3 linked regions of the Mus musculus genome follow. The protein of the gene in region 3 interacts with the protein of the main gene of each other region in a pairwise test. Links are inferred from orthologs where the notes say so. Each region holds a gene or a part of one and is shown on either strand. Other genes may lie near its edges.

What was found.
Region 1: the proteins of Ssc5d (region 3) and Exoc7 interact in binary tests that used the Homo sapiens proteins (3 or more experiments, as listed by UniProt). The two-hybrid records come from large-scale screens. The link is inferred for Mus musculus from reciprocal best matches to the Homo sapiens genes SSC5D and EXOC7.
Region 2: the proteins of Ssc5d (region 3) and Sec23ip interact in binary tests that used the Homo sapiens proteins (3 or more experiments, as listed by UniProt). The two-hybrid records come from large-scale screens. The link is inferred for Mus musculus from reciprocal best matches to the Homo sapiens genes SSC5D and SEC23IP.

Annotation. Positions count from the first base shown.
Region 1 is NC_000077.6:116,303,927-116,308,329, forward strand, and holds the start of Exoc7 (exocyst complex component 7), read right to left. Parts: upstream 2,809-4,403; 5' UTR 2,748-2,808; coding exon 2,688-2,747; intron 2,528-2,687; coding exon 2,462-2,527; intron 1,123-2,461; coding exon 938-1,122; intron 757-937; coding exon 651-756; intron 1-650. UniProt on the Homo sapiens protein: Component of the exocyst complex involved in the docking of exocytic vesicles with fusion sites on the plasma membrane.
Region 2 is NC_000073.6:128,742,894-128,747,296, forward strand, and holds the start of Sec23ip (SEC23-interacting protein), read left to right. Parts: upstream 1-1,976; 5' UTR 1,977-2,128; coding exon 2,129-2,285; intron 2,286-4,403. UniProt on the Homo sapiens protein: Plays a role in the organization of endoplasmic reticulum exit sites. Specifically binds to phosphatidylinositol 3-phosphate (PI(3)P), phosphatidylinositol 4-phosphate (PI(4)P) and phosphatidylinositol 5-phosphate (PI(5)P).
Region 3 is NC_000073.6:4,924,672-4,929,074, forward strand, and holds the start of Ssc5d (soluble scavenger receptor cysteine-rich domain-containing protein SSC5D precursor), read left to right. Parts: upstream 1-1,283; coding exon 1,284-1,308; intron 1,309-1,818; coding exon 1,819-1,845; intron 1,846-2,302; coding exon 2,303-2,611; intron 2,612-2,880; coding exon 2,881-2,994; intron 2,995-3,224; coding exon 3,225-3,338; intron 3,339-3,713; coding exon 3,714-4,022; intron 4,023-4,403.

The sequences.
Region 1 (4,403 bases), on a different chromosome or scaffold from region 3:
GCTTGGCCTCGCATTTGCAGCCATCCTCCTGCCTCTGCCTCTCAAGTATCAAGAGTGCAGGTCTTGCCTGCCATCACGCCTGGCTGAGATGGTTGATTTTATACAATTTATGTGTTTGTTTTGCTTTACAGCTTTGAGACAGGTTTTGCTATGTAGCTCTGGCCATCCTGGAACTCACTATGTAGGCCAATCTGGACTTGCTGCAATCCTCCTGCCTCACCTCCTAAGTCCTAGAATTACAGGCGTGAGTCCCCATGCCTAGCTAGGTACAGGACGTATTTTTTACCATAGTGAAGAAACCTCCAATCCATATATAGAAATCAAATGCTAAACTTACACTTGAAATAGTATGATGGAAAATTATATCACTCAGTCCCCAGGCACAGGACCTAACACGTACATTGTGACTGCTATGTATCTTCCTCTTTTATCCGTTTGCTTAACATTTGAGACATGGTGTCACTACATAACCCAGGCTAGTCTGGAATACCACATATCCCAGGCTGGCTTCAAACTCACAAGTTCTAGGCCTGGGCCACCACACCTGGCTTCTACAGACTTCCTTAAACTGTCACATGTCCCTCATGAGACCGAGACAGGGACTGATGTCCATCTGTCCGTCGTCTCACGCTAACCTATACGTTTCTTACCACTTTGTTGAGTTCTGGGCTGTCTGGGCTATTGTCCTGAAAATACTCCACAGCCTTCTGGATTTTGGCCATACTTCCCAGGTACTCTTCCAGCCTACCTGTGGGGCTGGGAAAGAGAAAAGCTGGCTTAGCCTTGGAGGGCAGGGATAACATAGACAGACTATGGCCACGGTCTGCGGGAGAAGAAGAGAACGCAGATAAGGGGCTCCACGCTCACATGGGTTTTACTTGGCTCCATGGGTCCAGGAGACATTAGTTATGTGAGCAGAGCTCTGCATGGAACTCACCCCTCTCGGATGATCTTCTCCGTGTCGCTGGCTACGTGGTAGTAGCTGATAACGTGGTCCAGGCAGGATAACGTCTTCTCCACGTTCTCCTGCAGCCTCTGTAGGTTCTCTGTCTGCTTGTGCACAGGGATGATAGAGTTCTCCAGCTTCATGAGTCGGCTCTCAAAGGACGACAGGATGGACACCTGTGGGGGGGAACTCCTCTGGCTCATGGCTCCCAGGGCTGTCCTGGAAATACTCACAGACATTTCTTGTCTTTTCTTGGTTTTCTAGACGATACACTGCTACCCATAGGAAGGAACATAGTCGACTTGTTTGCTACAACTGCACTCCTAGTCTGGTACACGGCTCACCATAAACTGGTTGAAAGTTCATCTGACGGCAAGAGGAACATTAAGCGAATTCTTCCTTCAAGGAGCTGGAGAGATGACTCTGCTCTTGCAGAGGACTGGTACTGAGTTCTCAGCACGCACATCTGCCAGCTTACAACTGACTGCCTGTAACTCCAATTCCACAGGATATGACAGCCTCTTCTGACCTCTGCAGGCACTGCTCATTTGTGGGACACATACACACATGCAAACACTCATGCACATAAAATAAATTTGCTTATTTGCAAAAAGAGATAATCAGGCTGGAGAGCCAGCTCAGCAGTTAAGAACACTGGCTGCTCTTCGGAAGTCCTGAGTTCAATTCCCAGCACCACATAGCGGCTCAACCACAACCATCTATAATGAGATCTAGTGCCCTCTTCTGGCATATGGCCATACATACAACCAGAACACTATACATAATAAATTTTTTTTTTCAATCACCTCAGGATAGATTCCTTTCTACCCTTGAAAGTCAAATCTCAATTTCTGTTCTCTCTGAAGTTTTCCTAGACTGAACAGAAAGTAGCTTCCTCCAAAATAGTTGCAAATATATTACTGTTACCTCAAACAAACAGCCAACCTCTTTCCCTAAGGGCAAATCTCATTCAACAAGTATTTTATTACTGTGTAAATACAAATGCAAGCACTTTTAAAGCATCTTACTGTATACCAGACACTGGGAAGCATGCATAGACTTCCTCCACGGACACACTGGGAGGCTGACATTGTCTGCTTTACCAGGTAAATTAACCATAACTCAAGGCCTACCACCAGGAACCACATAGTAAGCTGTAGGACATTGGGTAGATCTAAGACGCATTAACTCTCTGAGATGGTTTTGCTTCCAAAGCCCCTGTGACTTCGCTGCCTCGCCTCGCTTGAATTTGACAATGACACGGGGCCAGTACCAGGCCATGTACAGGATATCACGAAATGTTTGCAGAAGGACAGACAGTAACAGGTATAGGGCAGCGGTTTCCTCGGTGATGGGGTGGAAACTGGGGTGCAGAGATACCCATCGCTGCAAGATATGCCCACTGTTTACTACCCACGCTGGAGTCCCTGGACAGGCGCAGGACACGTCCATCACACGCCCCTCCTCTGGGGCTCAGGAGCCTGGCGGCAGCCTCCCAGCTGAAAGGCTACTCACCATGTTCCTAGTGAGCTGGTCGCTCTTCTCCAGGCTGTCTCGGATAAACGACAGCGTCTCCTCCTCCTGCGAGGGGCAGAGAGGAGGACATCACCACAAGCCGATGGTGAAAGGCGACCACCAGCACCCAGCACCCAGCACCACGGCCTACGCCTAACCCTATCTCCCCTTCCACCCCGGTTCGATGCCCCTGAGCGCCTTTCCTTCACTTTCTCCCCAGCGTCACCTGCTTCAGTTTGTCCTCGATCTCCCGCCGCCGGGCGGAAGCCTCCTGCGGGGGAATCATAGCAGCGGACAGCGCTGTCCCCACTCCCCGCTGTTTTAGCTCCAAACCCTGCTCGGCTTCCGTCCCTGTCACGCCCACTTCCTCCCTCGGCCCCGCCCCCGGACGCTTTCGGGGGCGCCATGTTGGGAGTGGCAGGCGGAAGTGTGTTCCTGCCGGAGCTCGCGAGCGGGCTGCGGGTCGACGCCATCTTGAATGTGGCTGGAAGAGCCGCTCACCTGAGGCATACGTGGGTCTTTCCTCGTAGCCAGAGGCTGGTTTGCTCGCTCCTTTGAAAGACAGCCCCTTGCTGGGAGACTGAAGCAGGAGGCCATTCACGAGTTCGAAGCCAGTTTGGATCACATAGTAAATTCCAGGCTAGCCTAGGCTACAGAGTCAGACTTGGTCTCCAAACCAAAAATCAAGCAAACCAACATTATACCTGAATTTTTTTTAGATCGTTTTGGCTGCTCTGGAATAGGTTATGTAGACCAGGCTGACTTCTGCCTACCGTGGGCTGGATTAAAGAAAGGTGTGCTCTGCCAAACCCAGCTCACCCAAGAAAAAGCAGGGCGGTGGCGGAAGGCAGGAGGTGGAGGCTGGCACGGAGTGGTATATAGGGTTTACAGTTCTCTCCCTCCCATGTGTAGGACCCAGAGGGATTGAATTCGGGTGCCAGGTTTTGTGGCAAATGCCTTAACCTGCTGAGCTATTTCACCAGCTCATGATTTATTTGTGGATTTTAACATGGTGTATAGATAGATGTTTCGCCCATGGGTATGTATGTCTGTGCCGTCACTTGCATGCCAGGTGCCCTGGAAGACCAGAAGGTTATCTGATCCCTCTGGAGCTGACATTACAGTAGTGAGCTGTCTGTCATGTGGGTTCTGGGAACCCTAACCCTAACTCAGGCTTCCTGGAAGAGTAAGAAAGAGCTCTTAACTGCTGAGCCATCTTTCCAGTTAGCTAAACCCTAATTTAGGATAAAAGCGCTGACTGAGGAGACAAATTTGTTTTTGCAGATCATATCTTAACGGTTCAAGTCTGGAGACTGGATTCCACACAGAGTGGCTTACAATGGATACTTCAGAACTTGTGGGATCCCACGTGGGTTTAATAACAGAGACACAGAGACATCTGTATAGTATAAGGCTGTTTGCCTGTTTGCTGGGGCAGTCCCTCAGCTAACCCTCCAGACTCAACGCGACTTCCCTGCTACGAGTCCCTGGCGTTCTCTCTGCTCAACCTCCCTGTCCTGCTCAGTTCTGCTTCTGTCTCTCTCTCCTCCTGCCCCGACTCCAACAGTCAACTCTAGTCCTCAAAGGCCACACGCCTTACTCATCCAATCTGAGCCAATCAGCAACGGACAACGCCTAGTCTGAGCCAATCAGCAGCAGGACAACACCTAGTCTGAGCCAATCAGCAGCAGGACAACGCCCGGTCCATATTTCTGTGTTGTCTTTTGGCTTTGGCAGCTTTTGACCTTCACCAGGCAGCTTTCTTTTTAACAGGCTAATCTCAGAGAAACACCTTTGTGGCAGGCAAGGAAGGACAAACACTTACATATAGAAAGCAGGTAATATCGGGCTTGGGAGCTGGCTCAGTGGTTAAGAGCACCAACTGCTCGTCTGAAGATCCTGAGTTCAAATCCCAGGAACTACATGGTGGCTCACAACCATC
Region 2 (4,403 bases), about 120 Mb from region 3:
GCTTTAGAGAGGCTATCATCTATCTATCTATCTATTATCTATCTATCTATCTATCTATCTATCTATCTATCTATCTATCTATCATCTATGCATTTAGCCTTAGTTTCCTTGGAACTCACTATGTAGCCCAGGCTGAGCTACATCTCCAGTGCCTATCGATGGATCCTTAATTGGGAAGAGTGCAGTCAAGAAGGGACCTGATTAGAAGAAGTTCACTCAGCCAGGGCAGTGGTGGCACACGCCTTTAATCTCAGCACTTGGGAGGCAGAGGCAGGCAGATTTCTGAGTTTCAGGACAGCCAGGGCTACACAGAGAAACCTTGTCTTGAAAAAACAGACAAAAAACAAGAAGAAGAAGAAGAAGGAGGAGGAGGAGGAGGAGGAGGAGGAGGAGGAGGAGGAGGAGGAGGAGGAGGAGGAGGAGGAGGAGGTGGTGGTCACTCAGTCACTCAGGGCATGCCCTTAAAAGGTATATCTCATTCTGGGCCCTCTTCTGTCCCTTTTCTCATCTTAATTGTTATTTTAGTTTTTTTTCCCCTTCCTGTTATGGTTTAAAATAAAAAAAAATCATATGTTGAAGTTAATTATGCAAAGTGATGGTTTTGGAATTTAGGCCTTTCTCTCTCTCTCTCTCTCTTCTCTCTCTCTCTCTCTTTTTATTCGAGACAGGGTTTCTCTGAATAACCCTGGCTGTCCTGGAACTCACTTTGTAGACCATGCTGGCCTTGATCTCAGAAATCCGCCTGCCTCTGCCTTCCAAGTGCTGGAATTAAAGGTGTGCAACACCACAGCAGGGCTGGTCCTCTGGGATCCCTGCACTCATAAAGAGGTTTGAAGCCCTAGTTCTCAAGTTTCAACTTTAGTTTTTCTTCCTCAGGGAAGCTTTTTCTTCCTTAAGTTTTTCGCTAATGATCTGATGGAGAGAGATACATGCTCGCTCTTCCTAGAATGTTTAGATCTCTGTCCCCAGATGATGTCAGTGTTCCAGGAAACACACTTAAGGAAAGCCTGCCATTTATATTATTTTGTGTTTAGTTGATTGTTTTGCCAGATTGTAAACCCAAAAAGGAAGGATTTCAGGTCTGTTTCATATATCACTCTCTGGTATATGGTTCTCAGCCTTGCTTCTTTATGATAAAGAGAATTTTCTTGACCAACTTCTAGTCTAGCATGGCTTTTAGCAGTTTGAGGCCATGTTATCTATGACTCACCAGAAGTTTCCCCATTACTAAGCTCTGTACTTCTTGGCCCCGTTGAAATGCTTGTCGAGGTAAACTCAACACTGCCAGAATTTAATGTTTTTATTCCAGCCAAAACCTGGTAGTAGGCAGATAGGTCCCCAAACCCTAAATTACAGCAGTAACTCTAGAATGTTGCAATTATACATCTTTTCTCTGCCCCTTTGAAACATAAATCGTCTACCACTTGGAACTGCCTTACCAAAGGCACTTTTTGTTGATGCACACATTCAAGGAGATAGTAGCCTGGAGTGGTGGCACACTCCTTTTAAGCTCTTGGGAAGAAGAGGCAGACAGACCTCTTGAGAATTCCAGGCAACATCATGAAAACGTAACTGAAAAAAAAAAAGGAACCCAGCCGATAATAATTCTTACTTCCAATTCTTATGACCGCCTGTCATAAAGATATAAGAATTGCAGTGTGTGGTGGTATTAATCTCAGAAATGGAAGAGCTGAGGCAGGAGGATAAAAAGTCAGTCTGGGCAGCATAGAGAGATCCTGCCTCGCAAGCAAGCAAATAAACCAACCAACCAAAAACAGATACTCCATGAGAAACTCAGGGCGTCCAGGACATCTCAGAATCTGCGACTTCGAGCGTCAATTAACGCTAGGATTCATCGGCCACACCTCTCTATTCTATGCTGTGATTCCAGAGGCTGACCCAGTCTCGCGAGACCGAGGCTGTCACGTGATAGGCTTGGGTCTGAAGCCGATTCCACCTTATTGATTTTGGGCGGCGTCAAATTCCGGAAGAAAACCGATCCCGGAGTCGCTGGCCTGTGGCACCTGTGCGCAAGTGCGGAAGTGCGGTGGCATCCTCGCTAACCGGTTTCCGGTCTGTGTGCAGCACCGGGCTCGCAGAGCCACGTAACGGCCGGGGGTCTGCAGCCATGGCGGATAGGAAGGCTAACGGCGGCGGAGCGTCCGCCTCCTCGTCAGGCACTAACTTACTCTTCTCCTCCTCGGCCACGGAGTTCAGCTTCAACGTGCCCTTCATCCCCGTCACGCAGGCCGCCGCCTCCCCGGCTTCCCTGCTCTTACCCGGAGGTAGTGAGCCGAGGGCGCTTGGGGGCCAGTGTCTGTCCCGGGAGGCGGGTGGGACAGGAGTGTCGCCTGCTCTGAGTCGCTTGCCAGGGTCAGCAGTGACCAGCTTTCAGAGGGCCAGGGACTGGAGGATCCTGGAGGAGGGGCTCCGGTGATGAGGCTTGGAACTCCTGTCATTGCGCAACTGTTTGTTGAACACCCACTGGTGTGCTGGTGCTGGCAGAAAACGCAGCTAAATTAGACAGTTACCCTTTGCTAGAATCCGAAAGCTGCTCTCTTACTGGGAAACACCGGTGATAGGGTAGGACATCACCTAGGAGACAGTAAGTTTCTCCAGAGGAGACAATGCCTCTCTTGTAGAGGACTATACACTCTCTCCTAGTAAAAGCCCCCCCGTTACACTTTTGATTAAGCTCTGTGTATATCTGGGAAGGCTGATTTCTCTCTCTCTCTCTCTCTCTCTCTCTCTCTCTCTCTCTCTCTCTCTCTCTCGTTTGTCTCTGTCTCTCTTTCTCGTCTGTCTCTCTCTGGTGGTTTGGAGCACAGACTGTGTTCAGACCCGGCACTGCCATTAACTTGCTGTGTGGCCTCAGTCATGACATTTTACCTGTCTGCTTAGATTTCATGTTTTCAGCTCCTATCCCTGGGTTTGAGAGCAAGGTCTCTCTGTGTAGTACTGACTGTCCTAGAACTCACTGTGTAGATCAGGCTGGCCTCAAACTTAAAGGATCCACCTGCCTCTGCCTCTCTGCCTCTGAGTGCTGGGATTAAAGGCATTCGTCACTATACCCTGTCTCATTTTTGTAGAGTTCTATATCTAGTGTCCCACACGTATTGTTGTGTAAATACTTGTGAGCTAAGTACTCTGCCCCTCCATGTGGACTGTGAACTTCTTACCTCTTTTCATTTTCAGGGTCCTGTTTTTTAGTGCCTAGCACACAGGTGCTTGTTAGGTGCTGAGCTTTCCCCACCAAATAATTCCTCCTTGGAGGACTAAGGGGAGTTTCCCGCAGAAGGGAAGAAAGACAACTGAAAGCATGTGTATCTGCAGTGTCTCCTTTCTGTCATGTTTCTTCTCGGTGCTCGTAACTGTCTGACAGGTACATATGCCCGCTTACCCTACCAGGCCAGGGTGTAAGCTTTGTCAAAGCAGGGGCTGGCCCGATGCCTGGAATGCAGACTACAGAATTTCTAGTGGGAGTTTGCTGAGCGACTGGGGGGATGGATCCACGAGTGCCCCTGCCTCATGGAAGCGGTGTGACTGAAAGGTTCAGTGATGCTTTCTTTGGTGAAGAATTGTGGCTGGACCAGAGTACTGTGGAAGGGTCCAGGAATCAGTAAGGTCGTGCCTTGGGTTTTTCAGATTGTTCTCGGCCTCCAGAGTGGTGTTTGATGCACGCTCGTTTTCCTTGATGTATGATATTTAATTTGTGTGTTATTGTCGGTGCTTGACATTTCTATTCTCTTCTTCATTTTCTTGTTAATTTTCTGTTCATTACTGTTTTTCTGCCTGTGTGTCTATGTGGGGGTGTGGGACCCCCTGGAACTGGAAGTTACAGACAGTTGTGAGCCGCCATGTGGGTGCTGGGAATTGAATCCAGGTCCTCTGGAAGAGCAGCCAGTGGTCTTAACCATTGAGCCATCTCTCCAGCTCAACATTTCTGTTTTCAGCTTTAAGATAAGTATATCAGTCTTTAAGGTTTATTCATTTATTAATTACTTTTTGAGACATGGTGTCATTTTGTAGCCCAGGGTAACCCAGAACTTGTGGCAGACCTCTTGTCTTAGTCCCCAGGTGCTGAGACTACAGGCATAAGCCACCACTCCCAGCTTTATATTTTAAAAGCTTCTTAAAAGTTTATTTTTACTATTTTAAAAAATGTGTACTTGGGTATGTCTATCTTTGTGTCCATATACATGAATGTAGTTGCTCTCAGAGGCCAGAGACTTTGACCGTGCCTGGAGCTGGAGTTACAGGTGGGTGTGAGCACCTGAGTCCAGTGCTGGGAGACAAATTAGGGCCATCTTTAAGAGCCATGCTCTGTAAGAGCAGCACAAGCTCGCAATGACTGAGATAACTCTCCAACCCCATCTTGAAAACTCTTTGTTTCTTAGATTTAA
Region 3 (4,403 bases):
ACTAGAGGTCACCGTGTCCAGTCCTTTGCCTCACCCCCACTGCCCCAGTCTGTATGCACTGAAAAACGTCGGGTTCTGGGTCTACAAAGCCCCTGCTGCCTGTGTTTGAGGTCTGGAAGGGAGATTTGAGGAAAGAGAGAGAGAGAGAGAGAGAGAGAGAGAGAGAGAGAGAGAGAGAGAGAGAGAGAGAGAGAGAGAGACTAAAAGTTAGAGTCTGTGACAGGGAACTCCCAAAGGGGACAGATCTTCTGGGAGTGGGTGGGGCCAGGAGCACAGTGTCTCCAAGCCCATCTGGTTTTTTACACTGTTTGTTAATAAACCCTGAAACTTCTGTGTGCCTGTCTCCTGTCTGATGCATTTTCCAGCTGCTCTCTCCAGACTCCCTCCTTCTGTCTGGCTCCTCCTCTCCGAAGAAGTTGACATTAATTGCTAGGGAAGTGTGTGTGTTGGGGGGGGGGGGGGGGCGCTGGGAAGAGGAGAAGCAGTGAGCTCACAGCGGCAGCCAGTCTTTGCCAGGCCTTCTGAGTCATGCTCCCCATTACCAAAGTTTTCCCCCTCACAGCTGCCTGGTGTGTGTGTGTGTGTGTGTGTGTGTGTGTGTGTGTGTGTACCCCCTCCAGACCGAAGCCTTGACCCCTCAGTCTCTCTACCCTCCATACCTTTGTTCTGGGAACTGGTAATAAGTTCAGACACTCTTTTCTCGAATCGGCACTGGGAGCTTCCCATCCAGATTTACCACAGTGGGTGACAAATGGACAGGAGTTTTTCAGTTTCTTTTCCTGATCTAGGAAGTCCCTCCTAGTATCTGGCTTCAGGCCCTCATGCTACTGCAGGATTCCCCAAAATCTGTCCACTCCCAGCTGCACTTACTTGCCTGGCTGGACAATAAGAGGAGGCAGAAGGGTGTGCCCTCAGCCCTGTCCCCCAGACACCCAGGCCTGCCCCTTCCCAGAGCTGCCATCCCCATAAGCATCTCTGAGCACGTGGCCCTCTGGAGCCTGGCTGGCCGCCTCCCTCCAGTGTGGGTGTTTGCACTTGAACACCTCCCTTCTGCCTGCCCCCCGCACCCCCCCCTCCAGCCTCAGCTGTGGCCAGCCCCCTCCCCCTCCTGTCCCCTGCTGCATCCCTGCAGCCTCTCTCCCTCCTGGCAGAGCCTTCAGCCCAGCCTGCTCCTAGCTGTCCAGGGCTCCTCAGCAGCTGCTTCCCTCCCTGGCTGCCTCCTCCTCCCCTCTCCTGCCCTCCTTCCCCTTTCACCCCATCCCCTGCCCCTGGACTCTGCGAACATGAGGGGCTTGGCCTGCCTCCTTGGTGAGTGATCCATTTCCTTGGGGGGGGGGGTAAGCACCTTAGGGGCCTGGACCCTTACCTCTGACCCAGTTAGCTTCTCCAGTTTAGGGGCTCATACTTGAGGGAGCCTGTTCTGGTCCCTGGTGCAGTGTGATATCCTGACATCTGGCTGGCCCCTCTAATCCCTGAGGGACCCAGCCTTCTGCACGTCCTGCCTAGCAGCTCAAGTGACCTGCCCTTTGTTGCCCTGTCATGTACTCTGTAGCGCTATCACTCCCACCATTCAATCTGGTCCCCAGTCCTGTTTTCAAGGGTCAGGCATCTGGGGCCCCACCCACCCCAGGGACCTGTAACTTATCCCAGCCTCCTCCCAAAGTCCATTCCAGCAGTGGGGTTTCTGACTCAGAGGTGTGAGGAATCTGACTGTGAATGGGTGCTTCCCACTGTACTGAGGCTGGGAGCCTGCACTGGGGAAAGGACCCCTCCCCTCTGATTTATCCTTCACTCTGTCCCCTCCAACCTCCTTTGCAGCAATGCTGGTGGGGATCCAGGCTATAGGTAAGTGTCCTGATTCTACACTTGGCCTCACCCCGCTCCAACTCCCCCCCTCTCCTTCTGGTCTCTGCTACCCCAATTCCACTCCCCAGACATTGCTGCCATCCAACAGGGACAATGAGTCTTCTCTAGAGTTAGCTGCACGCTGACCTATGGGAGAGGACCAAAGTTATGAGGCCAGTGATGGGGAGAGGAGTGGAAAGGTTATTTGACCCCCTTGTGGGGCAGAAGGACCGGGGATGCCTGAATTCCCTGGTTCACAGTGTCCTTCCACACAGCCCCCAGCATCTCTGAGACATTCCTCTCATTGCACCTGGGAGTCTGGGACCAGGGTCCAGCCTCCAGGGTAGCTGGCTTCCTGGTGGTAGCTTGTAAGGTAGTCCCCCTGCCTTGGTGTTACCGTAGACCCCCAGCCAACAGTACTCCTGTGTGGGGTCACAGCTTTTCCTTCATCCCTCAGAGCGACTCCGCCTGGCTGATGGTCCTCATGGCTGCGCAGGACGCCTGGAGGTCTGGCACAGCGGGCGCTGGGGCACCGTGTGTGATGACGGATGGGACCTTCGGGATGCTGAAGTGGCCTGCCGTGTGTTAGGCTGCGGAGGGGCGCTGGCAGCCCCTGGGGGTGCCTTCTTCGGGGAGGGCACTGGGCCTGTATGGCTCAGTGAACTGAACTGTCGGGGCAATGAGGGTCAGCTGGGTATCTGTCCCCACCGGGGCTGGAAGGCCCATATCTGCTCTCATGAGGAGGACGCAGGCGTCGTCTGTGTAGGTAAAAAGATTCAAATTCCTCTTATGGTTATGGCCCCAGGAACCCTGCCCTTAGTTCCTGCAGATCTGAGTTGTCTAGAAGCTAAGCGGTAACCAACTCCAGATCCCCATAAGACCAGGTGCTCCCCTCCCAAGGACTCCCAGCTTATGAGCACTTATTTCTGAGCCACAGGAAATTCAGGCATCCCAGCTCCTCCTGTCCCAGGGGTCAAATGACCTTTCTACTCCTCCCCCCATCACTGGTCTCATAACTTTGGTCCTCTCCCATAGGTCAGCGTGCAGCTAACTCTAGAGAAGATTCAATGTCCCTGCTGGATGGGGATCCATGGCTGGCACTGTCTGGGGAGCTAAGCCCCAGCTCAGAGGAGCCCCCTATAACTCACGGTGAGCACAAAGGACAGGCCTCCCATCCCGCACCCTGGTCAGACTCAGCTATGGGGGAAGGTTATCCTGCAAACGTTTTTCTCCGGCAAGCTAGTCTCCTTCATTATCCAGAAATCCTCTGTCCAGAAATCTTTCAAACCCTCAGAAAAGAATCCCGAGACAGATGCCAAGGAGTAGGGAAGAGTGACCAGCTGAGCTCCTGACTTCCTGGTCACGTGTCACTTTCCTAGCTCCCCAACCAGCAGCAAGCTCCCAGAATGGCCCCCGGAAGAAGAACCCCCGGCCACCCAAGCAGACCAAGTCCACCCGAGCCCCTGTACTGACAAATGGAGCTCCCCACCAAGGTAAGGCTCTACATTTCCCTGTCTTCCTGATCTGTGTGCTACGAGACCCTAGACCCTGCCAAACTGAGGACCCTAGACCTCCATTCAGCCTGTGACTCTCTAAGGAGACCGGCGTTCACAGTGCCCCTTCAGATCCAGTCAGGGCTGGCCACCTCCTCTTCTTTATCCTCCCTCTATGAGACCCAGGGGGGTGGCCGGTCTCTTTTCTGAATTAGGTACTTGGCAGACAAATCTCAGTCTTCTGCTCTTCCTGGGCCTCAGTTTCCCCAGTTGTAAACAAACAGGAAGCTGCCCCCTCCAAGCTGACATTAGACTAAGCCTTTTACAGTCTCTCATCTTCCCTGGTTGTATTCCTCTCCCCCCACCCCTCCCCAGAGCGGCTGCGACTGGTCTCAGGTCCCCACGGATGTGCCGGCCGCCTGGAAGTCTGGCACGGTGGACGTTGGGGCACTGTCTGTGATGATGGATGGGACCTCCGAGATGCAGCGGTGGCCTGCAGGGAGCTGGGATGTGGGGGAGCGCTGGCCGCCCCTGGGGGTGCCAGATTTGGACCTGGTGAGGGACCTGTGTGGATGGATGACGTGGGGTGTGGAGGAGGAGAGGAGGCCCTCCGAGACTGTCCCCGAAGCCCCTGGGGCCGGAGCAACTGTGACCACACCGAGGATGCAGGGCTGGTCTGCACCGGTATGTATGTATGTATGTATGTATGTATGTATGTATGTATGTATGTGTGTGTGTGTGTGTGTGTGTATATATATATATATATATATATATATATATATATATATATACATACATACATACATACATATATGTATGGGCAGCTACCCGCTCTTCAGATCTCAGCTCCTCCCTCCCCCAGGAAGCAGTAAAAGGCCTAGCCTCGGGTCTGTCTCTCTACACATTCTCTGGGAGAGGCTTAGCCTGCTGGGCCTCAGCTTTCTTGAGGGAGCAACTAGAAACTGGGACCAAGAGTAAGGGGCCATGGAAGGGCACTTGGGTATTTCCTCCTCCATTGCTCCTCTCCTTCTTCTCCCTCACTCCCTGTCCCTCTTGCCTTCCTCC